Struthio camelus: one gene and its partner. The protein of the gene in region 2 purifies or fractionates together with the protein of the main gene of each other region. This does not show direct contact. Links are inferred from orthologs where the notes say so. Each region holds a gene or a part of one and is shown on either strand. Other genes may lie near its edges. The genes, in order: PSMG2 and POMP.

Evidence for each region.
Region 1: the proteins of POMP (region 2) and PSMG2 purify together in Homo sapiens (co-immunoprecipitation; 6 studies listed by BioGRID and IntAct, counting the BioPlex papers as one, with this or other methods). This does not show direct contact. The link is inferred for Struthio camelus from reciprocal best matches to the Homo sapiens genes POMP and PSMG2.

Annotation. Positions count from the first base shown.
Region 1 is NC_090943.1:113,581,613-113,594,045, forward strand, and holds the start of PSMG2 (proteasome assembly chaperone 2), read right to left. Parts: upstream 6,164-12,433; 5' UTR 5,996-6,163; coding exon 5,921-5,995; intron 4,480-5,920; coding exon 4,308-4,479; intron 3,480-4,307; coding exon 3,421-3,479; intron 2,472-3,420; coding exon 2,353-2,471; intron 1,044-2,352; coding exon 870-1,043; intron 1-869. Other genes in the region: CEP76 (centrosomal protein of 76 kDa), read left to right, coding at 6,275-6,337, 8,025-8,180, 8,505-8,586, 8,957-9,181, 10,290-10,475, 12,198-12,295. UniProt on the Homo sapiens protein: Chaperone protein which promotes assembly of the 20S proteasome as part of a heterodimer with PSMG1.
Region 2 is NC_090942.1:200,246,215-200,258,724, forward strand, and holds the start of POMP (proteasome maturation protein), read right to left. Parts: upstream 5,954-12,510; 5' UTR 5,823-5,953; coding exon 5,820-5,822; intron 4,356-5,819; coding exon 4,258-4,355; intron 3,373-4,257; coding exon 3,312-3,372; intron 1,096-3,311; coding exon 994-1,095; intron 1-993. UniProt on the Homo sapiens protein: Molecular chaperone essential for the assembly of standard proteasomes and immunoproteasomes. Degraded after completion of proteasome maturation. Mediates the association of 20S preproteasome with the endoplasmic reticulum.

The DNA of each region.
Region 1 (12,433 bases), on a different chromosome or scaffold from region 2:
GAACATCTTTCACTGTATTTCAAAAATTGGTTTTGCAGCCTGCATACCACTACTTTACTTATAAAATTCCCGCTTTAAGAAGTCAACAGTAGATTATGGAGAAGGAAAATTCAGGCAGGCAGAGTAGAAGACAGCTGATACTTAGAAGCTGAAGAAGTTCACTGATAATTATAGTTATTAATACAGGGAAAGAAAAAAAGAGGGACAAAAAAAAGTAAGTTAGAATCTAACTGGTCAGTGAAGGGAGGGCTAATACATTAGATAATCAAGCTTAACACATGGATTCTTAAATACACCTGATTTGACATAATTAAAAGGCTTTAATCTCAGATGGAACATTTTAAGTTTATCCCAATCTGAAAGCAAATGAAAAGGTGCAGTTTACCTCAAAAGGCCAGCGGAGAGGGGGAAGAAGAAGGAAATCCATGAGTTTGCAGTATTAGTAAATCAAAGCATGTGCCCATCAACCTAACTCATTCAACCAAAACCAATGCTTCTGAACATTTTTTGCCCAAATCTTTTTGAAAAATCAAAATATGACCTACACAATAACATTCTAATCATCAAATGAAGATACTTCAAATAAATGGAAGAAGTTACCAAAAAGAGGCAGAATAAAGAGATACTTGGGATGCAGCTCTAGACTTAAACAGCAGCAAATAAAAATGTGTGACACACCGTTTAAAAGCAAGTCTTCCACTTGAATGGATAAACATAAAGACAAGCAAAACAGAGCTTGGAAGTATTTCTAAGAGAGACGATGTTACAAAATCCACCTATGCCTCCTACCAGTGAATCAGTAGCTTAAAAAAACAATTTCACCTATGTACTAAAAACAAGACATATGTTTCTGTATGCAGCTCACTCACCACTCAGTAAACAATAGTTTTGTGATGCCACCTCCTGGTATATGTAGAACTTTCTCTGTATCACTTATTCCAGGGTAAGCTGCTACTTTTTCCATTTCTTTCCATTTTAACCCTTGCATAAGGCCTTCCACCGATTTCTCAAGAGCAGGTGTGAGTAGGTAGCGTAGAGGAGTTCTAGGAACAAATCAAGAATACGTTCAGTGTGAGAAAACAAGACAACATAGATGTTATTACTTGCGGTGGAAAGGAGCTGCATGCATCAAGTACTGTTCAACTTTCTGCCACACATATAACCAAATGATACATTTTGCAAAAATACACTTGAATCTGAAGCAAGTTAGATAAATTTCTTCCTTCAGAAATCACCACTGCATCAGAAGCATTAAAAAAGCTCAGCCATTATTTTTCCCCCTGAGTATTCAAGATACGTGCCAATTTGGGCATCTAAAAAGAGGGTATCAAATATACAAGCACTTAAATAGGAGAACTGTTATAGGCTTCTTAAAATGATTTACAAAAGAAATGGTGGCTATTCTTCCTTCCGATGGGAATTTATTCAATTAAAGTTAGTTAAAGTAAGCTTGGGCTTCACTTTGATATAATGTTTGTAATAAACTTAAACTACAAATATCTGCAGACTTCTGTTAAGTCTTTCAGTATTTCCTTAATGCATTACCTTCACTCATTAGTGTCTCTCTGGTATCAGACTTATTCAGAGTAAGTCACCACAACTGATGAACTCGGAATACATAAAGTAACCATCAGTCTCCCTCATTTCAGTCCATGTCTGCTGACCACTCTAGAAACTCTATGCAAAATCAATGGTAACTATATCTAGAACATGCATAGACCTAGACCTCCTCAGGGCTCTGAACATTTATACACCCTGGTGATAAGAGTTGTTCATTTTGAACAATACTTTTTTTTTTTTTTTTTTGGTAAGTCATAGATTATCAAGGCCTCGATCATCAAGCTATGCTTTTTCTTTTGTTTAACGGGTGGGGGGGGAGGCACACCTAATAAAACTCTGTGTAGTTTTTTCCTAGCAGGTAAGTATTGGTAACTGCCTATAAAAAGATACCTTACTAAAAAAAGAAAACCCAAAATGCAGAATAATTAAGAAGCGGTAAGAAATTCAAATATTCTAACTAAACGTTAAAAATCTAATCGGTGAGCTGTATGTTAGCAGCTAATCCCTGACAGCGCTTGCAGCAATAACAAACTAAGTTGTTAAAATCGAGGCTGATGGTGCAGGCCAAGCAGAAATTTACTTATGGCATATTATTTGCTCAGCATTGTCAGGAGACTAACAAAGCTCAGAGCCTAATGCTGTATAACACACTATTTTAATAATATATTAAGTATCTTATGATCTACCTACACAGTAAAGCAAAAGAACCCTGCCAAAAAGTACTAAGTATATATGCCAGTTTGCCAAAAATAACAGAAAAAACAATCAAATCATTTAAGGACACACACATACCCAAGAAGTTGCTCATCATCGCGCTGGTATGCATGGCTGCTAGACAGAAGAATAACTCTAGCACATTTGCTGGTTTGCACCCAAGAAAGCAGTGCTTGACAGAATGGCCTGTACTTGTTCTTTACGCAAAGAGAGAGGGGGGGGAGGAGAGACCAAAAAAAAAAAAAAAAATTCATGCCCTTAAGAAAAGCCACAAGTCTACAATACTAGATGTTATATTTAGTGTTCAGCAGTGAGGAAATTTTTTTTTCTTCATATCCATTCAGTCTTCAGATATATTTTTAAAAAGCAGAGGACACTGGTTGTTTACTTAATCAAAGATATATGTATAATTATAAAAATTATGAAAACCACATTAATAATAACTGTATCACTCATTCTGTGTGCCATTAATATCAACGGGAAAACCTTTAGAACAATATGGGATGATAAAATTCCACAGTATTTTCCCACAATTTAAACTGCCAAAAATACTACAACACAATTTACTCTCGTGTGGTGTTCTGCCCATTTTAAATCACAGCCACTATACAGTTAACAGTTAATTTTAACTGTTTATATATAATGAATAGAGAACAGCAGGAAATAAATGGGGGTGACAGCAAAAATTAAGCTATTTAAGAAAAGACAAATACACAAAAACAATAAATATGAAGAGAAAAATAAACAGGCGGGAAACAGACCATATTGTTTTGTCAAGACAGTTAATAACTAAGGACATATTTTCACTAAATTCTACTGAATTAGCTGAGCTGTTTCAGAGCTTGAAACAAACAAGCAAACAAACAAATCTCAACCATTAATGAATGTAGGAGACAGCTTTTGTTAGCTAAAATTTTATCAATTACGGAAGACGTTATATCACTAAGCAGAAAAACATTTTGCTTTTTTTTTAAAATGTATATTTTGCTGTTAAGACATTATTTCATAATAGGGAGCACGAATTTTTTCAGTTGTGCTTATTTTAAGATATTATAATAGAGTAAATTCTTCTAGACCATTTGAAAACTACTGGCCAGTAGAACAACTGAACTTGAACACTGAAGTGAGAACAATGAACATACGTACCTTTATAAAAGGTGATCTGATCTGCAGAACTACAAGTTTCCTTGAAGGTAATGAATACACTACAAGGAGAAAATAAAACAGTGCATAACAAAAAAAAAAAAAAAAAGGATCTGAGCTTAGAAGTATCCAGATTTATCCAATCCATAAATCTGAGGTAAACCTTTCAGCTCTCTTACCAAATTGTGAATTATTTCAGGCTTTTCAGTAATGTAAAAAAATACGTATTTTTGTGCATCATCTTCACTGAATCTAATTTCACTTGGCATAAAAACAAAGGATTGAATGAAGTAAAAATTTATTAAAAACAAAACAAAAACTATCTCCTGCAGTGACTCAGATAAACTCTTTATACAGCTTTGCAGAGATTACGACAGATTATCTCGAGATTTCCATGATTTAAAAGGAAAAAACAATATAATTTGAAATGCTATGATCAAGACACAGAAAGGAAGTGAAAACTTGAAGGTAGAAAAAAGAAAAAAAAAAACCCTCCACACTAGGAAAAGGCAAAGATAGGTGGGAAGGAAGAAGACAGGACGAATATCCTTTTATACTCTAATTTAGCTTGCATGCCATGCTTTACTGTAGGTATGGACACACTTTCCACATTATCTAGGATTAAAACTGCAGAGAGATTCAGCAGCACTGTAATATGGTTGAGATTCAACATTTCTTACCGGTTCCATGTTTCAAACTATTTATGCAAAATAACAAAAGTAAGTTTCCTCCACAAAGTGTAAATTTACATTCTTATCTGCGAGTCAGAGATTTGGTTACAAAAGTTATTATTGAACTTCATCTAAAAGGTAAGAAAAAAAAGGAGAAACATTCTTACAACTGCTTTCTACAGGCAAATATTTAAGATCTAGCTTGCATTCAATACATACCTTCAGCATTTATACTCAGCTCCGTTGAGTTTTCTTCTGCAGTTGCATATGGATTATTCCCAACCATTGGCACAAGGCAATCAGTGTAGAAGTAGCCAACTTTAGTCATGTCCAGTGTGGAAATCACGAGGTCTATTGCCAGTTGACCAACATTTCCCACTGACACTGCTGGCTGAAGTAACAGAAGTGTTTTAGCATTACAATAGTAAAGACATAATTCACTTAAAGAATTGCAGCGTGTTTTATGGACAATACAGCATGCTTTTGCAAACAGTGAAAACTTAAGTTAGCTGAATTCCGGTTAACCATATGATTTCTTAAAGTGGCACCATTTTCTTACAGAAGTTACTACTTGTTAACAGCTTACTAATATATAATGTGGTCCCTATGCCACAAATACATACTGGTTGCTTCTGTCAATAATCCTGTCTCATTATAAACTTAAAAAAAAAAAAAGGCTTGGAGACTGGTGTCCTCGTGTCCTCCCCAATCCCCCCTTTTTTGGCTACAGAGTAGATAAAAATCACTCCAAAATCTAATGCAGAGATTGGCAGCCCCAAAGTGACAGTGAATGGCAATGCCGATACTGCACGTTAAATCTATAAATACCAGATTGTCCTAAAAACACAAGTAAATTAGCATATGTTATCACCAATCAAAGCTGATGCTGACCCAATCTGAGAGCATACAAGGAAAAATTCAGTTTGCGAGTTTGTGTCCTTCTACAGAAGCTGAAAATGGAAGACAACTGTAAAATTTTCAGTTGCCTCCCACTCATTTATAAGCAAGCCCGTGCCTATGAACTGCTGCTGCCCAAGGGCCAGCAATCCTGGAAACACAAGGAATTTGATGCCGATAACCTCAGAGCGAAAAAGGATGTAACAGCAGTTACAGACCGTCATTACAAATTGCCTGGTGCTCAACAGCTTGTTATTCCTAGACAAAGAAAATAGCAATGACCTATTTCCTGTTCCCAGTCAGCTGATCTGGAATGACTTCCTGTATAAAATCTTGTACCTCATGTAAATATGCACAGTCATCAGGGGCGATCTGGCCCTGATGAAAGGCGATAAGGTTACCCTTAGATGATAAAGTAAAGGCACTTACTAATAGGAAAAATAACGGCTTGCTACTTCACAGCCTGTACTAGAATTCGTACCCTACAATACACAAAGTAACCTCTAGCAGTTTAATCTTACATCGATTTCACGTTACAAATTATTAAAGTATTTTCTAAACCAATTCCAAGCTCAGCTTAAATATAGCACAGCTAAGGAATCTGCCACTGAAGACTAGTGTACATAGCCTCTCTCCCCCCTTCCCCCCAGGCCGTTGAGAAGTTTCCGGGGCCGACCTCCGGACAGGGGAGAGGAAAGCGTCCCCGGCCTGCCGCCCCCAAAGCGGGAGCGAGCCGCGCGGACAAGCCCCCGTCCGCGCCCGCCAAAGCCTCCGACGCTGTTTCAGGCCCCAGCTGTAGGAAGCCCCCCCCCCGCCCCGAGAGCCACGGCCTCGAGCAGCAGCACGTCCCTCACCCCCGCCCCGGAGCGCTCCATTCTGGCAGCACCTCCCCACGGCCGCCTCGGCGAGAGGAGGGGAGCAGCAAGGCCACTTACCACGAGCAGAGTGAAGCCGTCAAAGTCCGAGCTGGCGGAGGGGCCGCCGCTGCCATGGTCACACGGAACAAACATGCCGGCAGGAAGAGAAAAGAGCCGCCCCCCTCCTCCTACCTCAGGCTCCCCCCCTCCCCCGGTGAGGCGAGTGGGCGAGCACGGCCGCCAACGCAACGGCCGTAACCGCCGCCGCCCTCGCTGCTCCGCCCGCGAGGGGGCGGGGCCGGGCCCGCCGCGGCGGCCGTTAGAAAGGCGGTTGGGGGCGGGGCTTAGCCCGCGGCGCGCAGGCCGGCGGCCTGGTCTTCCACCCCCCGCCCCTTTGCCGGAGTGCGGGGCGTCGCGGCTCGTCCCGCCGCCATGTCGCTACCGCCGGAGAAGGCCTCGGAGCTGAAGCAGCTCATCCACCAGCAGCTGGTCAAGGTGAGGGCGGTAACAAGGTGGAGAGGCCCCCGGGCACTGGGGCCCGTCCTGAGCGCGGAGCGACTTCGTCTACTCGGAGAAATCCCCGGTGCGTCGGTGATAGGGACCCCCCGGCCCTTGGAGGCAGCGATGCCCGCCCAGGCGGGGGAGGCGCCTCCAGCTCCGTGTCCGCTCCCTCGCCCATCCCTTTTGTTCCCCCCCCCCCCGTACTTCAGCAGGTTCATGTACTTCCCGAGGTGCTGTTTTGCCATGTTGGCGCTTGCGGCCCCCCCCCTCCCCCCAAGAGGGCCTGCGAGGATCAGCGCTCTGGTCTAACGGCCGCCTTGGCCTCCGGCCTTTCCCCGCCCTCTCCTGCCGTCCTCGCTCTTTCCCTTCGTTTCCCCTTTTCTGGGCGATGGAGCTGGCATCGCCCCCCCCCCCCCGGTGCTGGCGCTCCCGCTGTCGGGGCTGCCCCGTGGAGGGCCGGCGGAGGGGAGCGGCGTTTTCGGCCCTGTGAGAGGAGGCGGCGGGGGGAGGGGGGGAGCCACGGCGGCCGGAGGCACCGGGAGGCCGTCTGTTTGCTCGCCGCTTGTTGAGCGAGAAACTAGGGCGGGGTTTTGAAAACAGTGGGAGAGAAATATCAGTGCTTTAGCTCGCATCGCGGAAGTATCGCAGTGTCTCAGTGGCTATAGCCTTGCATCGTTCCTGTGGGAGAAACAACTTTAGGAATACATGCTGTTTCACAGCTGAGCCATCGAAGTACAGAAATTCTGGCTTTATGATCATAGAAAAAGCTTGCGATGGAGGCTCCCTATTTGTATGCCTTACCTGCAACAATCTAAAGTTTTTTTTTTCCTTTCTGTAAAAAGTAAGAGGAGGAAAAGGAGGAATTGAAGATATTGTTCCAGGGGAACACACAGATTTTATTGCTTCTCCGCTCATGGGTTTCCATTTAGATTCATCTTGCAGGTCAAACACGCAGACCTCCACAGCATCAGAGGGCTGACAGTTTCCAAAGAACTTTTGATGGTTGAAGACACATCCTATGGTGCGATAAGGATACAGTGGCTTGGGCTGTTCAGCTAGTGGAGGCTCATCAGGGCTGATAGGACGGTGGATGTACCTGATCAAAAACATTCAGTTTATTTCCCATACACACATTGCCATAAGTTTGAATTTTGAGGGAGAAGAGAAATTAAAAGCATGGAAGTTTTATAATCAATGGATTTGCAGGGCTGTTGGTGAGAAGGGATGTTCGAGGCTGGGGATGCTGTCACAAGCAGTGGAAATGCTCAGGTTTGGAATGCTCTTAACTGGTGCAGTTGCTTTGGTGAGATAGTGTGACTTGCTGCGGTACTTCTCACTAAACAATAAAAAGTTGTTTGGTACACATTTATGTGCAGAAAGAGGTATTCTTTTGGTGCAGTTATCTCTGTATTCCTAGGAGAATACCCGTTACCTTACAGAGAAACGTTTTAGTGCTAACTGTGACCATATAAGGAGCTTCATTTCTTTTATTCTTATTATCATACTTAAGCCTCAATCAAGGAGGAAAATGAAAATAAGTTTGAAGAGACCAGTCTTGCATTCTGCTGTGATACAGCTGAGTGCGAATTTAAATACTGTGGGGGTTATTAAGAAGTATTATTTACAAAGCTTATGAGAGTTTGAACATGTATTTCTAGCATATGATGAATTTTCTGTTCAGATGGATGTTCATGGCAAGATCAGAGAAGTTCTTGCTGAGACTATACGTGAAGAGTTTGCACCTGAGCATCAACAGTTATCCACGGAAGACCTGATAAAAGCCTTAAGACAGCGAGGAATCATTGATGATGTTATTAAAGAGCTTAAATTTGTAACTGTAAGTAGCTTTTGAAACATGAATGTATTTTGGTTATTCCTATTATCGACTTGATGTTATGACAGCTCTTTTACTATAAAGTGCAGACTCAATTACTTCTAAGTGCTTATATTAGCTTTACTGAGTTGTAAGTACTGAGTTGGTTTAGTGTTAATATTACACTGAAAGTACTTGTTCAGTTCCCTTACATCTTAAATCCTACAAGGCAATATATTTGAGAAACAACAGTCAGTAGAAAGAGAGAATTCTTTTAATTTTTAAGAGACAACAGGAATAGCACTGTTGCCTCACTTGATTCTTTAAGAAGTCTAATTGCAATTCCAGGAAGTGAATGACAAGGAGAGGACTTCAGCTCCAAAGCCATCTACGCATTTTGTTGACAGAGAACCACCAGTTCTGAAAAAAGGTATGTTGCTTGTTTATTTTAATGTTTGGATTATAGTTTTAAAATAAATTAAGTGCAGGTTTATTGAGCTCTTTGAATTAATATTACAGAGCGAATTGGATTCATTTAAAGTTTCCATATTGTGCAGAAATAGATGTTTTTCTTACTTGTCTAGATGCAAGTGGGTTCATATAAACAGCAGAAGTTAGTTGCACATAAAATAGCATTTATTGTATATTATCTTCCATAAGTTTTAAAATTGCTTTCCCCTAAGCACTTGTTTTGAAAGAGTTTTTTTTTTTTTCTATTCTCCACTTAGATAACAGATATTTTAAACATACTTCCTAAGATCTGTTTGTAGTTTCTTCATATTTATTGCTACGCTTTACAGCTAATATTAACCCAACACGGAGGTATCTTTACCTTCAGGTTTTGGGCGGAAAAGCTTTTCTGGAACATCTTCAGGAACCGGAGCCTTTGCCTGGCCAAATCTGTTCTACCTTCACTCTGTGTTTGCATTTTCGGAATCAGCGCTTCCGTTCTAAACCTGTCCCCTGTGCCTGTGAGCCAGATTTTCATGATGGTTTTTTACTTGAAGTACACAAGGATAGCCTGGGTAAGGAAGACTGTGAGTTTGCAGTGGATGCCGTTTTTTATTCTAACATTACAGTTATTCTAAAATGTGCTTGATATTATTTAATGTTTTTTGCCTGTTTTTATAATGTATTCCTAAGAAAAACAATTGCTGTATCAGGTTCCGCTACTTCTAGATCTAGAACTGATTCTTACCTATTATTTTCCTTCTTTTCCACTCCAAAGTAACTTTTAACCGACTTTATCCAGATGTAACAGTGAGATAGTAGTGCCAAAGATGGTAGATTCATGTTTTCCTGAACCTTGTGCTGAGAAGTGAAGAAAGGAGACCTTTTTTTTATCGTATGGAGGGAAAAGCTTCTGCGTGAGTTTAGTCTGCCTGCTAGTTGGCAAACACCTGCAGAACAGTCAGTTATCCACAGCCTATACTGTCTTTGTCCTGTTATTAGCTGGGGAACATAGTAGGGAGCTATGTGTGTTTTAAAAAACGGTTTCTGGAATAAACAGGGGAATCTTAAGGTACTGGGATAAAGGAAGAGGAGGCTGATACTGTCTGAATCCTGTAGAAATTCAGGGTAGGTCATGGAGTGTCAGAGGACAGAAAGAAGGCTAGAGTTATAGCAGGCCTCTGTGTGAGAGAGAGTGAATATACTGCGAATTCGGAGAAGACCAGGCTTTGTTAATTCTGCTGCTCATGGAACAGTTTATCTCGTAGGGTCAGAGCTTAACTACAGAGGAAGCTGCTTCCTAAATATGGATGCATAGTAAGTTGACCTGAAGTGTTACCACTTATTAAAATAATAACGCACGCATCTGCAGTTGCTTTTACTTATTAGTACATAAAAATAACTTTCTTATTTTTTAATAATATTTCAATTTTAATTTTTGTACAATTAAATGAGTTACCCTGGAGTAGGCAAATATAGAAATCTGTTTATTGCCTCTGTCAATTAATCAGTTGTAATCTTTCTGTAGCTCTGTCCTAATCTTATTTTGGTTTAAGGTGGGATTGTTGTTGCTTACACTTTTCTTAAAAGGTAATGTATGCAAGGAATGTAAATGCATATGCTTTAATTTTAAGGCGGTATTGGGATGGTAACATTCTGGCTGTCTGTGTTTAATGATGGCAGGTGATGGAAGTAAAATGGTGGATGCAACCACTATGTTATCAATATCGGATCCAGTGCATATGGTTCTGATCAAAACAGACACATTTGGTGAGACTACACTAGTAGCATCCTATTTCTTGGAGTGGCGATCTGTCTTGGCTGCAGAGAACGGTGTAACAAATGTTGCAGTTGAACTCCTTGGTGTAGGTAAGAATACACAATAAGGGTAAAATGCAAACACTTAAAATATTGGCTATTGAGCTTGCTTATAAGGTCAAAGCAGTATGCAGTTTAATTATGGTTAGACTCATGAATTGATATAAGGTATCTTTAGAAAACATTTATATAGGAGACCAATGGTCAGATTTTTCACTGTTATCAAGATACTAAAAGTGTGTATTCTAGACCCTCTGTCATAGTGGTCCCCTTGTCAGATGGGAACTCTCCACTATGTGTTTTTTGCAAAATCTGCATAAGTTATCAAAGCTTCCTGCCTCTTCCCCGCATTCAACTGATTAATATCCATGAAAATCTCAGGCTAGTGTACTGAAGAGTAAAATCTAGTGTGTCCCTTTCACAGCAAAGTAGCAGCTGGTAGATGAAGTTTTCTCTGCTGTGCTGCCATTTGTTCTGGTTGCTGGAAACACGTTTCTGCTAGAATGGAGGACCAGCTTTGTTTAAGTGCTTCACAGTCAGTATACATGTGTATTTTTATGTATTGCTTCTGCATATGGCCCTTTAGGAGTTTCCAGGATATTATGATTTAGTAGATAAAGACTAGATACAGGGCTAAATCTATTATGACTTCCTACTCTAGCTCTCCCAGAGGCTTGGCAAGTAGTAGTTGATGAGCCATTTGAGCGTTCTTTATCACAGTTTCTCGACCTGTTAGGCAAGCAGTCCTTTCTAATTTCATAAGATATTATATCTGCAAAGTATTTTGAAAATTTGATTTACTATGTAAGTTATTCCTAAATTTTATCTCTATTACCTGCTTTTTGGGGGATGGTTTAGTGCAGTGTTTATCCACTGGACACAAATCTAGTAACCTTATTTACTAATATTTTTTTTATCAGCATTAGTTACTTTTGGATATGCTGACTGTTGACAAAGCGTACTAAGTAATACGGCTTTGGGTAGGCTTTCAAGTAGAGAGGTTTTCGTCTATAATTATTTGGAAATGCATACAAAATAATTTGAGCATGATACTTGGGGGAGAAGGGGAAGTTAAGTCTAATTACTGTTAATTCTTCTGAATAATGAAGAAACAATATCTAAATCCAGTGCTTTTTCTCTTCCGAAGTCTTGTCATTGTACAAAATACGTCAATAATATGGAAAGATACTGTCATCTCAGATAGACAAACTCCTATATGAGGCTTCTGTTACTCGTATTACTTATAATCCCATCTCTCTGATTTTTTTTTTCTTCTTACTGTTTATCTAATTCTAAATGTTGAGCTTTATGCAGCAATAGTGTTTTTGTTTTTTTGACTAATGTATTATTATAGCGTACTGGGTCCTTCATAATACAATGTATCTCAGGGAAGATTAACTTAACTCAGTTTTAACTGCCTACGTCTGATCTACCTGTGTGGTCAGTAGAAACAGGCACTTTTTCAGTGTGATTCACCTGATCTATTTTAGGTACCTATTCTAGGCACATCTAGAACGCTACTCATCATATATCCTGGTGTTGGCTGTAAATGGAACTTGGATAATTGTCTAAGATGTAGATACCTCTCTTTTCAGTCTGATTACCCTTTCTTTCAGTGTCATTTGGCTCATTCTAGTGTGACATTTAAATAAAGATACTTATTTTGCATATGTTGAAAGGCATTATTTTTTGTACTTCTTGTTCCTGTATGGCTGGAATGTTGTAAGTAAAAAGATTTTGAAAAGACTAATCAAAATGTATTTTGATTCTAAGGTACAGAATCAAAGGTTTCTGTCGGTGTTTTAAACATCAGGCTTGAAATGTATCCACAGCTAAATAAGATGCTGTCTCCAGAAATCACTAATACTCAAGTAAGTGATTTCTGGGTGGGCTGACTTTTTTGTTTTGTTTTATATGGGCAGGGGGAGAGGGAAAAACTCAGTATAGAATTACTCACGTAGATGTTAATGCCGGTGAGGTTTTTGAATGTCTCGTATTAATTGTTTTTA
Region 2 (12,510 bases):
GGATCTTTGTCCTCACCTGCCCCATTTTCTGCCACGTGCTAGCTTCTGTTAGGAAAAAGGTCTTTCCTCACAAGACAGCACTGCTGAGATCAAGGGATGTTTTCGTATCTCCTGTCTGCCTTTTGCATCTTCAAAAGAAGAAATTTCTACCAAGTTTTATGCAGCTTACTGTGGCTCACCAGAAACACGATCCACTGGAAGGGAACATATAACTGCTCCAACCCACTTGGAAGAGAAATCTTTAATTGACTTCACAACCTTCAGCAAGCAAAAAAACAGAACAAAATCCCAACCAACCAAAAACCAACTAACCAAGAACCCCAACTCACAATAGTTTACTAGGACCAATGAATTTTCTACGCTTCTAAGGGACAAAGTCAGCCTCCAGCTCCTCTCTATCACAGGAGATAAGATGGGAAAGAAGGGAGACTCAGCTTCCCAAATAAAGCTAAAACCTTTGCAGCTAGCTCACCAAAGAGCTCCCCTGATCTTACAAGGCCGTGGAATAAGAAGGACAGAGAAAATTCTGTTTCATGTTGCAAACTACCTTGATGTCCGCTCCCAAATCACTACCTGCTTTAGACCTTTACGTCTCTTTTCCCTGCAGACGCAAAGATTTCTTCTCATAAAGCTCATGTGTTCCACCGAGGAGAGTTCAAATTTTAGGAATTAATACTGAATTCTCCTGCTTTTCTCCCAAGGCTTGCAGGAAGTTAGTCCACACATAAAACCTGATATGCTTTTCATTTCACCAAGTAATCACTAAAACAACAGCAACTGAAAGGTTTTAGGATATTGACTGTTCTGGAAATTATGAATTGCAATGTTTAGGTCAGTTTTTTGTTAATAACACCAGTTCAGTGTAAAAGTTTCTCTTTGAAAGAGAAGACTGTTGTACTTTAATAGAGAAATATGGCTTTCCAAAAGCTTATTTATCCAGATAAAAATTCCTTCCAGTGATTTAAATTATACCAGTTTGATAAAAACGCCTACCTGTTTCACTGCTCTGAATTCCATCTGCAGCTTTAAAGGTGCATGGAGTCCTTGAATATTTCTCAGTGTGGAAAAGTTTGTTTTATCTTGATTCAACTGGAACTATCACAAAGAACAATTTTTTTTTTTTAAATAAGAGCTACTTTCAAGTACGGTCATAGAAGAGATTGCGACATCCTGCTTAGATAAATATGCTCACTGAAATTTAGAAGTAAAAATTCAGTGATACAGTCGTAAGTGTTTAAGTCACTGAAACTGCACTCAACTAGATTGCTTTTATTATAAATTAAAAGTAGCAATTTCATTTTTTTTTCTTTTTGACAATTAGAACATGCAACCCCACCAACTGGTTTAGTTGTGTACTACTTTAAACCAAGCTTAACTTCCTATTTTTGTGCTAATACTGTAATAAAGTAAAAACAAAGCAGAAAGCAACAATTTATATTATTTTTAGTCACTGAAGACTGTAGTTTAGAACATTCGAAATATATCTTTTCTGATCACGCAGAAAAATAGAGCATCACATACACTCTGCATGACTCAGGAAAACAAAAGATAGCTCTTATCTTACCAGCTGCTCTAAAACCAATAAATAACATGAAGAACATGCACATATCCATTTAGTAGCAAGTTCTAACAATGAAAAAAATGCTGGATCATGAATCCAGCACACACACACACAGACGCAACACTTATGCTCAATATTGCCAAAGCTTGAGTAATCATCTCAGCTTTGGCTTTTATGTTACTAACTACATGCCTCTAAGACACTACTGTAAAGTAAAACAAACCAACCAACCAAAAAAAAACCTCCTTATTTTAAAAGCTGTACTCATAAAGACTGTGAAAAATTCTACTGGTGTGAGATTATCATCATATTTATGCTAAGCGATCTCAGGAACCAAAAGGAATACAAAAATCAATGGCATAACATGCACTTTTCTTGAGATTAATCCATATTGAATTTTCTTTAAAAGTTAACTGAAAATACTAGTTATACTCCTCATCCCAAACTTATAATTTCGGTCACTTTTTTTTTTTCTTTTTAATTAGAAGTAGAGGGTGCTTAAATGGGTAGAAAAAAGATTTGGTTTCTGCTCATGCTACCTGAACAGCCTACCTACATTTATAGCAGTAAAACCATCCACAACTATTCCAGGCTTAAGAAAGTCTTTTTCCATTCAAATGTAAGTGAAAAATATTTATTAGAGAAATCCGCCATAAGTTTCCAGAAAAAAATCCAAAAATAATACATGGAAAAAAACAACTTAAAGATTCCATATACTTCTTAGGGGCCCATGTCATCTGTTTTTATTTTTTTTGTGCATTTTGTTTCGCTAGCACACAATCTTATGTAGGTTTCATATGGCAAAAGCAGTTATAAAAATTAAATTAAGCAGTCAGTGGGGGAAAAAAATAAAACAAAACAAACAATTGTCAGATGACCCTGAAACAATTATAATACACAATTAAAACTACACTCTTGAAGCTGATATCACATTAATATCATTCTTTTAACTGGTGACAACATTAGCACTGCCTAGAGTACATTAAAGTTTGACATCATCATAATGGTTAGCCTAGTATTTTGGAACATTATGTTCAAATACTGCACTTGCTTCAGGACACCAAACTGTATCAAAAGCTTCTGTGCTGACAAAACAGGCACCAGAGATGAGATTCAGCCTAACCAGTTATTTAGCCAAGGCTATGAATCCAAGTTCCCTTCATGGCAATGGAAACCTTTAACCTATGGTCCACAGACCATTCCTAAGCAGTCCACGAGAGATGACGAAGTTGGACAAGACTGCATACGCTGAGAACAATCTGTTTGTGGAGAATTTGTAAATGGGCTTGAGCAATTCACTAAAACATATTTATTCGTTCACAAACTGAAAGTATGAAAATGAAGACATATGGTAAACAAAGACAAAATAGGAAGAACAGCCTTCTGTAGGTGGCAGGTGTCCCTCTCTCTCCCCACTAACAATAGAGGCTGCGTACAGAACTAACTTACCAACTTTTAATTTAAAAAGTTTTCTGAAATGAAAGTTATTGAAATAAAGCCCAACTTGGAAGTCCGCTTAGATACTTGAAGTGGAGAGACACACAAGTGGGAAGTTACATGTTAAACAAATTTGGCAAGAATATTACTGGCATAAATAAAATGTTATTGCTGTCGAACATTTTTATTTAATTAAAAACAGGACCTTACTCATTCCTGGCTGCTGCACAAAGCAGTGCAGGTAACCATACTGTTAAATTAAACTTCCTAATTAGTTAAGAGTGAGGATGACTACATTTGATGTTATACTTGCATTTTTTTCTGACAACTCCAGTGGATGGCTGGGCAACAATTCATTTTTCACGCTTGTAAAGCTAAAAATGTAGACAAAACAATGTAATTAACAGAAAATTAATCAGAACACCATTCTTTAAGTTGCAGTGCAATACTAATTCCAGATATAAACATCAATCCACAGAGACATGAGATTAGCATAATTTCAGCTATTCAAAAATGATGCTTAGTGGCGAAGAAGCAGAAATGAATTCTTAATTATAGCATTGTCAGAAGGAAAAAAAAACCAAAACCTTGTATAAGATTCTCAGGCATCTTCTTTTCCTTCAGTTTTATATTTGATATAAAGGAATGATAATTTTTTCTCCTTGACCCGCTTCAGAAATAGAGAAACATATCAATAAACTAAGTAGGTGTGCAGTTAATGTAGAAGAGTCTCAATTTTTTCTAAATTTCTTCAGACTAAATACTGCACATACTTTCTCCCCATAGCTGTTTCACCTGCATTTTAAACTCCATGAAGTTGTTGCAGATTCAATACCCAATACATGTACATGGTTTTGCCACTCACATGAATTGTTAATAAGAAATACTATTTTTATAAAATTTACTTTCTGTACCAATCTCAAAATCAATCATTTTGTGCAGTTCTATGGCACATTCACACATACATATATATATAAACTAGCACATATTTCATAATGATTAAGACTTTGTCATTATTCTCTAAAAAGGAGCATCAAATGGGTCTAAGTCCATTAACATTATCTACTTCTGGAAGTGATGTTTCACAGAAAATTAAAGCTTGAATGACAATCTGACTGAAAACAGGTGCTTTAGCCACAGGTTAAGAGATACATCTACAAAGAACTTCTTCAAAACCACAAATATTTAATATGTTTTTTCATATATTTTAAGCTTCACATCAACTACTGCACAATTTGAGAAGAAACAATAAAGCACACCCTCTACGCAGAAGATCATGACCTCCAAATGGTCCAGCAGGTGAAAATTCAGTAATCGGGATACTATCCTTCAACAGAGAAGTAGCTCCTCTGGAATTCTGGAACAAAGAGTGACGATTACTTTTACAGAACCAGGCCCCATTTGCCCCTAAACAAATGAAAATTACGAAGATTCTACCAACTTTTTACTAAATAGTTCAAAAACTCCTCAAACTACTCAGGCACAAGTCTTAGCCTTCAGAGTTGCTTTGGGTGGAGTGATGGGGAAAAAATCACTAGGTTAGAATGCTTTCAGAGTCTGATGATACTTAAACATTTCTGGGAGCTGGCTAAAGCAGTTAAAAACCATAATTACCCTTGTTCATTCCCAACCCTGTGCTGCAGCGATGGGTGGGGAGAAGTCAGGTCACTGCCCAGCTGATGGGACACGTCTCAGTATTCCTTCAATCATGCTAGTACAGAAACAATCAATTGCAACCAAACTGGTTTTATCTACCATTTAAGGTTGTCCTAAAGAGAATAAGATGTATTCATCCATTCTATTACATCAGTTAACTGGAAGAGCAAAGAAGAAATGGCAACTTGCAGCAGACGACCAGATAAGACACATCTCCATGGACTTAGTAAGTAAAACCATCTTAACCCGCATCAGCGATTTAAAGCTACAACAGCTGATGACATTGAAGGATTTTTAGGACTGTTGACACAAACTAATCCATCAACAGATCAATTAGTAACAATCTCCGGATGGTGACAGCAAGGAACTGCTCAGCACAGGTGTTTCTTCCATCAGTTTTGTTGGGTCCAAGAGAAAACACATGCTCACAGTTAAGTCTCTTGAAACAATATACTACCATTGTGACTGTCAGTAACCTAAAGGCTATCAGAAAATCCTAAAATGTCTTCTACTGTGTCTAAAGCATCTACGAATTAATGTACTCAATAGTGATCTGATCTGAGATTGCTGCAAACAAAAACACGTAAAAAAGACTATTACCTAAAAGGTATAACAAGAGGGGCAAAGGTTTAGGAGGATCGAAGTGAAAGAAAGTAAAAAGAAAGCAGAAACCCGGGAAGTACTTCCAAAAAGCGAACCCCTCAAATCACGCCAGCGACCAGTCCGGCTCAGGCGGCCCCACCCCCGGTAAACACCACGAAGGCTGGAGGCGCGAACTCCGCCACCCCGCCTGCCGCTCGCCCCTCCAGCCCCGGGCTCCCGCAGTGCCGGCACCACCGGCGGCCTTGGCCTCCCTCTCCCTCCCCAGCTCCCAGAAGAGGGGCTTTAAACCACAACCAAGCGGTCCCGGGCGCCTTCCCAGCCGGGGACACCGCCCTGGGCGGGCCGCCGCCTGGCAGGACGCGTGCCCGCCATGGCCGCGCCGGCCCCCAGTGACTCAGCACAGCGCGGCGCCCCCCGCCCCAAGGCGGCGCGCGGCGGCCGCCGCCCCGCCGACCGTTGGGACCCAACGGCCGCGGCGGGGGCGCGGGGAGGAGGGGAGGGAGCAGGCGCGCGCCTCCCCCCGCCACCCCGGCGCGAGCAGCACAACCGACCCCTCACTCACCATCTTGGCCCGACACCCGCTTCCGCTTCCGCCTCCCCCGCCTCCTCACTTCCGCCCCTCCCCCGGCGCGTTGCGTCACGCGCAAGGAGCGGCGGCCGCCCCAGCCAGCGCTGGCTCGGGGAGAGGCGGGGCCTGGCGGGGAGGGGCGGGGCGGCGGCTGCCCCGCGGTGGCGGTTGGCGGCGGGAAGCGCGAGGGGCCGGCGCCTGGCAGGGCCTTGCCCGGGGTCTGCGGGGCTTCCCGCGCCCGTTTGACGCTGGCCGTCAAAAAACAGCATTTTTGATGCCACCCGAAGTCCCCTCCGCTGGCGCCTGGCTGCCCGCCCTAGCTGTGTGGCGGCGCTGGTTGATGGGGGGCTGTCGCCTTGCGCTTTTCTGTGGCCAAGCTTGTCGCCCCTCAGCAGATGGCGGGCAGGTGGTGCCAGCCAGGGGAGGCGCCTGAGTGACCCCCACAGCGTCACCGCGCTGGTGGCTCGAGAGAGGGAGGGAAGGAGCCGCGCTCCCCGAGCTGAACGCGGCCTTAGGCTGTGTGCCGGCCCCTGAGAGATCTCCCTCTGCGCAGACGGCTCTTGTGGCGCCCTGTTTTGCCAGGGACTTGGTCCTCTGCCGGTGACCGGCAAGGACCGGCCCACGGCAAGTTTATCTTTGGAAAGGTTCACAGCAGCAACAGTAACAACGCAGGAACTGCGTACTTAAATAATTTTGGAAGACTTTCCAACCATCGTTAGAAAATTTGCCACAGATTTTGCTGCGCTGCTCCAGATGTGCATCGAGCATATCTCTCACATATGTCTTCTGAGACTTGTGGTTTGCTCAGCACGTTTCACATTTTGCCCCAGATTGCCCTGCTGCTACGAATTTCATACATGGCAGTTAAAATGAACACTACGTACTGTAGAAAAAGTGATATTAACATGGGAGTTTTATATATATATATATATATATATATGTATTGATAGCACACTCAGCTTTGGATAATATTTAATTACAGAGAAATTCATACCCTTTTATTGTTATCCTCTTTCTTCAGCAGAATCAGGTCACCAGTTCAAAAATCTTTCCGAACTGAAGCTACGGCCCTTTACGTGAAGGTCTTCGGTTTAAAGCAAAGACTTCAAAAGAATAAAAATGTAAGACTGGGTTTTAAAATTATTTTTAGGAAAATGGGTACCACAAAGGCTTCTCTGATCTTGTAATTATAATGGGTACTCGGATATTGTGGTGCTGGGTTCATTATTATAGAATAGATGTGAATACAAAAAACAAATCAACTTCCTGTTTTAACTGCAGCTTACAGAAAAGCTAGGTTTGTCACTAAATGTATTTATTTATTGACTGAGTTTGTTGATCAGGATATGACTGCGGAGATGAAACATCTAACTTTCAAAGTCATTCTTGCAGGACACAGACAGGATACAATCACTCCATGTACCATTATTGACATCACTGCAATCCATAGTTTAGGCTGCATAACTAACATAAAAGAATGCACATTGCGAGAAAGATCTGGTTTTCCTTTAAAGACAGACTTTCACGCTAGGGAAAACTCCCAGACATAAACACAAATCACAGATATGTTTTCTCATCAAATTACCAACTGTTTTAAATATGAGCAAAGTTGGATTTCTTGCACAGCCTGTTTTAACGATCTTACAGTGAATATCTTAGTACTGGATGACTGTAATATCTCTCGTTCCTATGACCGTATCTGTGTCTCCACTGCACGTTAATAGGAATGATAGGAGCAGTTGTCAGGCTGATCAAACTTTTTATCAGAAATGAGAACCTGTGGTGAGCCATGAGCGCTGCAGTTACTGAGAAGCAATGGGTATGGCTACCCTTTCCTGAGCTGGCCTGCTGCCCTGCGGACCCGGGCAGTCTCTCTGAGAACATCTTCCAGGCTGCTGGTAACAAGACGGAAAGTGGGATGCAATGATTGTGGCTGCTGAAGAGGTTTTCTTTTAGACCGTATGCACACCCTAAAATTAGTGTGAAAATTACTGCTACTGCTCTAAAATTATTACCCTAGTAAAGTTTTGGCGGTGAATTTCACATGTTGCTTTTAAAGACAACCTTAAAATTATTGGGTTTTTTAGGAATAAAAGGTTTTCCTTTCAACATTTTACATAAAGAAGGCCCAAAATGTATGCATGTTTTAAATTTCTTTCTGCATGTTTCTTACCTCAGCATTTTTGGAATGTCAAATCTGGTCTCTTTGGTTTAGCTGAGGGACTTCACTGAGATTTCAAGAGATATATAGACCATGAACTCTTGTATGTTTTAGAAATGAGGAAAGTGTTGACTCTTTAAAAATACACACTTGTTTCAAATACCCTTTCGGCAATTCAATTGGCATTAACAAACATAAAACCTCGTTAAACAAGGGTTTAGCCAGCCTGACTTAACATGCATTCCAGCCTCGATTGCTTAGCTTTTTCTTGCCTGGGTGCCAGCACGGCATCATGTCATGAGGGGTCTGTACTTTTGCCGCTGAAGTCTGTGGCAGCGACTTTCCAGGTGGACTGGAAGCTCATGCTGACAGAGGCCCGGCTGGCTGGGCAGAGGCCGGCACATCCAGGCCTGCTCTGCCCAGGATCTAGGGAAGCCAGCTCTACTCTAGGGACTCTACTGCTCCGTAATTTTGAGCTAGTATGTCCAGCTTCTCCACTGAATTAAACGGTACTTTTACCTCTCCCATTCTTGGAACTTTTTTATATATTAAAATCAATAGATGGAAGAGAGAGAAATACCCATTTTTTAACACCATGGGTCCTATTTAATAATAGCAAAAGGAGTATATTGTCCAAGGAAACTTGTCTTTGTGTCAACATTTACGAATACTGATGTAGCTTTGTCGCTTTTCAAAATATAATTCCTTTGCCATATCAGTGGGCAGTCTGTTCTGAGTACGTGAACCTCTACCAGAAGCAAACCTTTATCCTGTGGGGCTGGGAAACTCTTTCACTGGTTTCTGTCAACAGCCAGTTATAACCTGTTAAAGTGAAAGTACTTTTTATTTGTTTTAATCAAATCAAATAAACACATTTTCTTTGATCTTTAAGAAGCCCTTTCTTGTTAACTTGCTTTATACTTTTATGTTTCAGTATTCATTGTAAATCTAATTATTTTAAAAGTTATTTTGTTTTAAATTATTAAACCTTTTCTGAATTTAAGATAAACAAGAGCATGTTTTGTTAAAGATTAAAAATAAATTTCACACAAAACTGCAAAACGTAGCAAAGATAATAATGTGTAGGCGTCAGAGTGTTCCAAAACAAGACTCTCTAGGGGCTCTTCTAAACACATGGCTACGTTAAAACCATGTTCTGAAAAGCCTCAGGAAACCCCTGACTCTAACCCACCCTTTCCTGAAACTGGTGAAAGTATTTAGAAAAAAAGTTACTGTTGCAGAGGAAAAAAAAAAAAAGAATCTCACTTATTGCCAAAGCAGATGATTTTTTCCTGTTTGTTTATTAGCAAATCCACAGCTTGCTGGATTTTTTGGGTCAAAACGTGCTCATCCTCATCCTTCAAATCCAGCAAACAGTCCAATATATGGCAAAAAAGGTCCATTATCACCTCTCTATGAAAGGTAAAACTAATGTGCTTGTAGCTACCCGTGGGTAAGTAATACCAACGTTCCCTTGTTCCATCATTTGATTTATGAATTATTAGTGAATTTTAAATGAGACAGTAATGTCTTTTCTAAAATGTCTTCAGTTGCTGTTTCGGAAGATGAAACAAGGACTGCCAATTTTTTTTCTAAGTCAGGTAAGGTACTTGGAAAGAGGCCCTTGTCGTCTTGAAGCGATAACTTATTTCATAGCTTGTCAGTGCTTTTGTAAGTCTGTGACTGGCATCCGTAATCTTTCCTCTTTGTTTGTAGCAGTCCCCTGCACAGACTCTAAGAAATCTGGGCTTCTGTTTTCCGTGCTCCTTCTGCGGAGCCGGGAAGGCAGGAGGCTGCAACGGGGAGAGCCGGTCACTAGGGGCTGCTCGGTAGCCAAGCTCGCTGCGCCGCCCCTGCCTCCTCGCCACTTGCCAGCCGCCTCTGGTCAGTCTAGCTGGGCATTAGATGCTTGTGGCACAGTTAGAGTAGTTTTACTCTTCACTCGGAGGATCGGCAAAAATAGGGTCAAAGGATAAAAAAAGAAAAAGGTATATGCAAAGCTAAAGCTGCACATGCAGTAACCAGGAGAATGCTGGTGGGAGTATTTCTCTATTAATAGTCTGAATCATCTACTTTCAATATGCTGTATTACACCCGTGTAGCAATATTCATCTTAAATTACTTCTTCAGCCCAAGTCGCATGTTTTACCTAGCTAATGTTCGTGTAGTCAGGACCTCACTGCTCACAGGCAATGCCGAGAATGAGAATTCAGAGAAGGATATTTTTGTCTTTTCTCTGAGTTTGGAGAGAGTGACTGGCCTCCCAGAAGCATAACCATCCTGCACATATAGGTGAGACTAAGCACATTTCCTGTGAGAGTATCTTCCTAAGGGAAACCTTGAAAGCAATTAATAGTAGTCACAGCTGAAAGACTTGAATGGAACATTACTTCCCATTCCTGCTACTGTGCAGGGAAAAAATCCCCCAAGAGCTTGCCAAAATGCCTGACAGCAAGAGGGGAGTCTGAGACTCCTCTGAGTCATAGCCATATCCATTAAACAGCAAGATAATTAGAAGTCACCTTAACTTCTTACAGCTGAAGACGTTTTCCACATAAACGTAGGTATCATTAAAAATAGTGTTTCTTTTCACCGTAAGAAACTGTCAACAGAAAAATTTCTCCACGTTCTTTTTCTATCATTTTGAAAACAAAAGAGTGGCGAAGCTTCTGATCCAGCCACAATGTGCTTCTTAAGAACGCTATAATTAGTCACATAGATAGAATGGTGATGGCTGGTTTAGAAACAGTTAAGGCTCAAATCTTCCAAGGTAATTCTGCGTTGAACGCTTCAGGATGTGAGCCAAAGCGCCTCGTTTTAGCCAGCAGAAGCAGAAGTGGGTTTAGAGCCTCCTGAATTTTGGCCAAGCTTGGACTTAGGTCTGAGTTTGATGACTCACTTCTGATAGAAAATCACAGTTTGTTTGCGTATACATAAACAGAAGTTGTAGCTTCCAGTAAGCAGCCTGTGTGCAGACCCTGGCACTTGTGGAGAGCTGTCCTAAAGTTCACAGGGTTCCACACAGGTGCAATGCTCCAACTGAGTGGACTTCACTGAATCAAGACTCAGGTGAAACAACAATGTCATTTTTGTACAGAAGAATTATTATAGTGTTTCTCCGGGAAGAACTTTTGCTAAATTCAAAGCCATTGCATTGTAAAGGGTGTTGACAGTTAATAAATCGTTTCTATGCAGAGAATAATGTATTTAGAATTCTATTTTTATTTCTTTTTCTGGAAACTATGATTGTACATTTTCCATGGATGATTTTGTTCATACTTCCTAACTGTATGTTTTCAACACAATTGGTTGGACTTTTTTGCTCTTTGTATTGCGTCTCTTAATTCTGAGGCTGTACAGCTATCTGCTTTCTGGAATGAATTACTTTTGTTTGTTGTATTTGTTATATTAACAACTTAAATTGTGTTTGTGTTCAGATTTGTTGTTGGAAGATGCTAAAAGTGTGCTGCTAGAACATTGTTTTACAGTGAGAGATTTCCTATTCAGCTTACATAGCATCAGTAGGAAGTGCCTGTGACAGAAACTGTCAGTGAATTTAAAAAGTGGCAGCTCTATACTTACTCGAAAAAGAACGCCGCCTCAGATAGCCCGTGTAAGTTTATCTGCACAGAGTTATTTCAGCACATGTCATTACAACGTTGTGGAGGTTTTATTATTTAACATGTTGAAGTGAAATTGAGAAGAAAGGAAACAAAGTAAGATAATACCATCAGGCAAATTCTCTATTTTGCATCAAGTATCTCCGAAAATTGCAGCATTTGAATTTTAAATTATTGAGATGAATAATTAGATAGATCAGGAGGAGATGTTGCTTTTTAATAGATGTTATTTAAACTATCAGTAAATCCTAGCGATATAAATTAGATTTTTATTTTTTATTTTTTTTAGTCTCAGAAGAAATTAGAAAGTCTATTTTTGTAAAGGAATATTGTAAGCTGGATTCAGAGTGACCTTGCAGGTAAAAAAATAAAGCAAATATTTTCAAGAATTAGGTTTAGGCTGGAACAAAGAAGATGCAAATATGAACTGAGAAAACTTGTGTGGTTTCTTCTTCAGAAGAACTTTTTAAGTTGTAAAAGATTACCGGAAAAACAAACCCAAATGTTTATTCAAAGGAGCAAACAGTCCTGAAAGGGTTTGGGAAATATATACAGTGGACATTTCATGAGAGACTGTCATATCCTCTTCTGAGAGAAAATTTGTGTGTATACCTTTGTGGTGGAGGATCAGAGTGGGCAGATCAAAGTAATCTAGAGGCTCAAGGGATACAAGAGGAGGGGGAAGGGAGGTTGTCATAGGATCACATTTGGATTCAAGGGCATCTCTTGGGTCGTTGAGTGCTGTCCACTGCTGTTACAAAGAGCCTTGTTATATAATTATTTTCATAAGGACTTAATAAACTTGAATATTTAAGTAAACTTGATCCAATTCCTTTTCCTTCTTCTCTCACTGTTCTTACTAGAATCTCATTGCTCTGGTTAAAAAAACTTCCTTTCTAGGCAG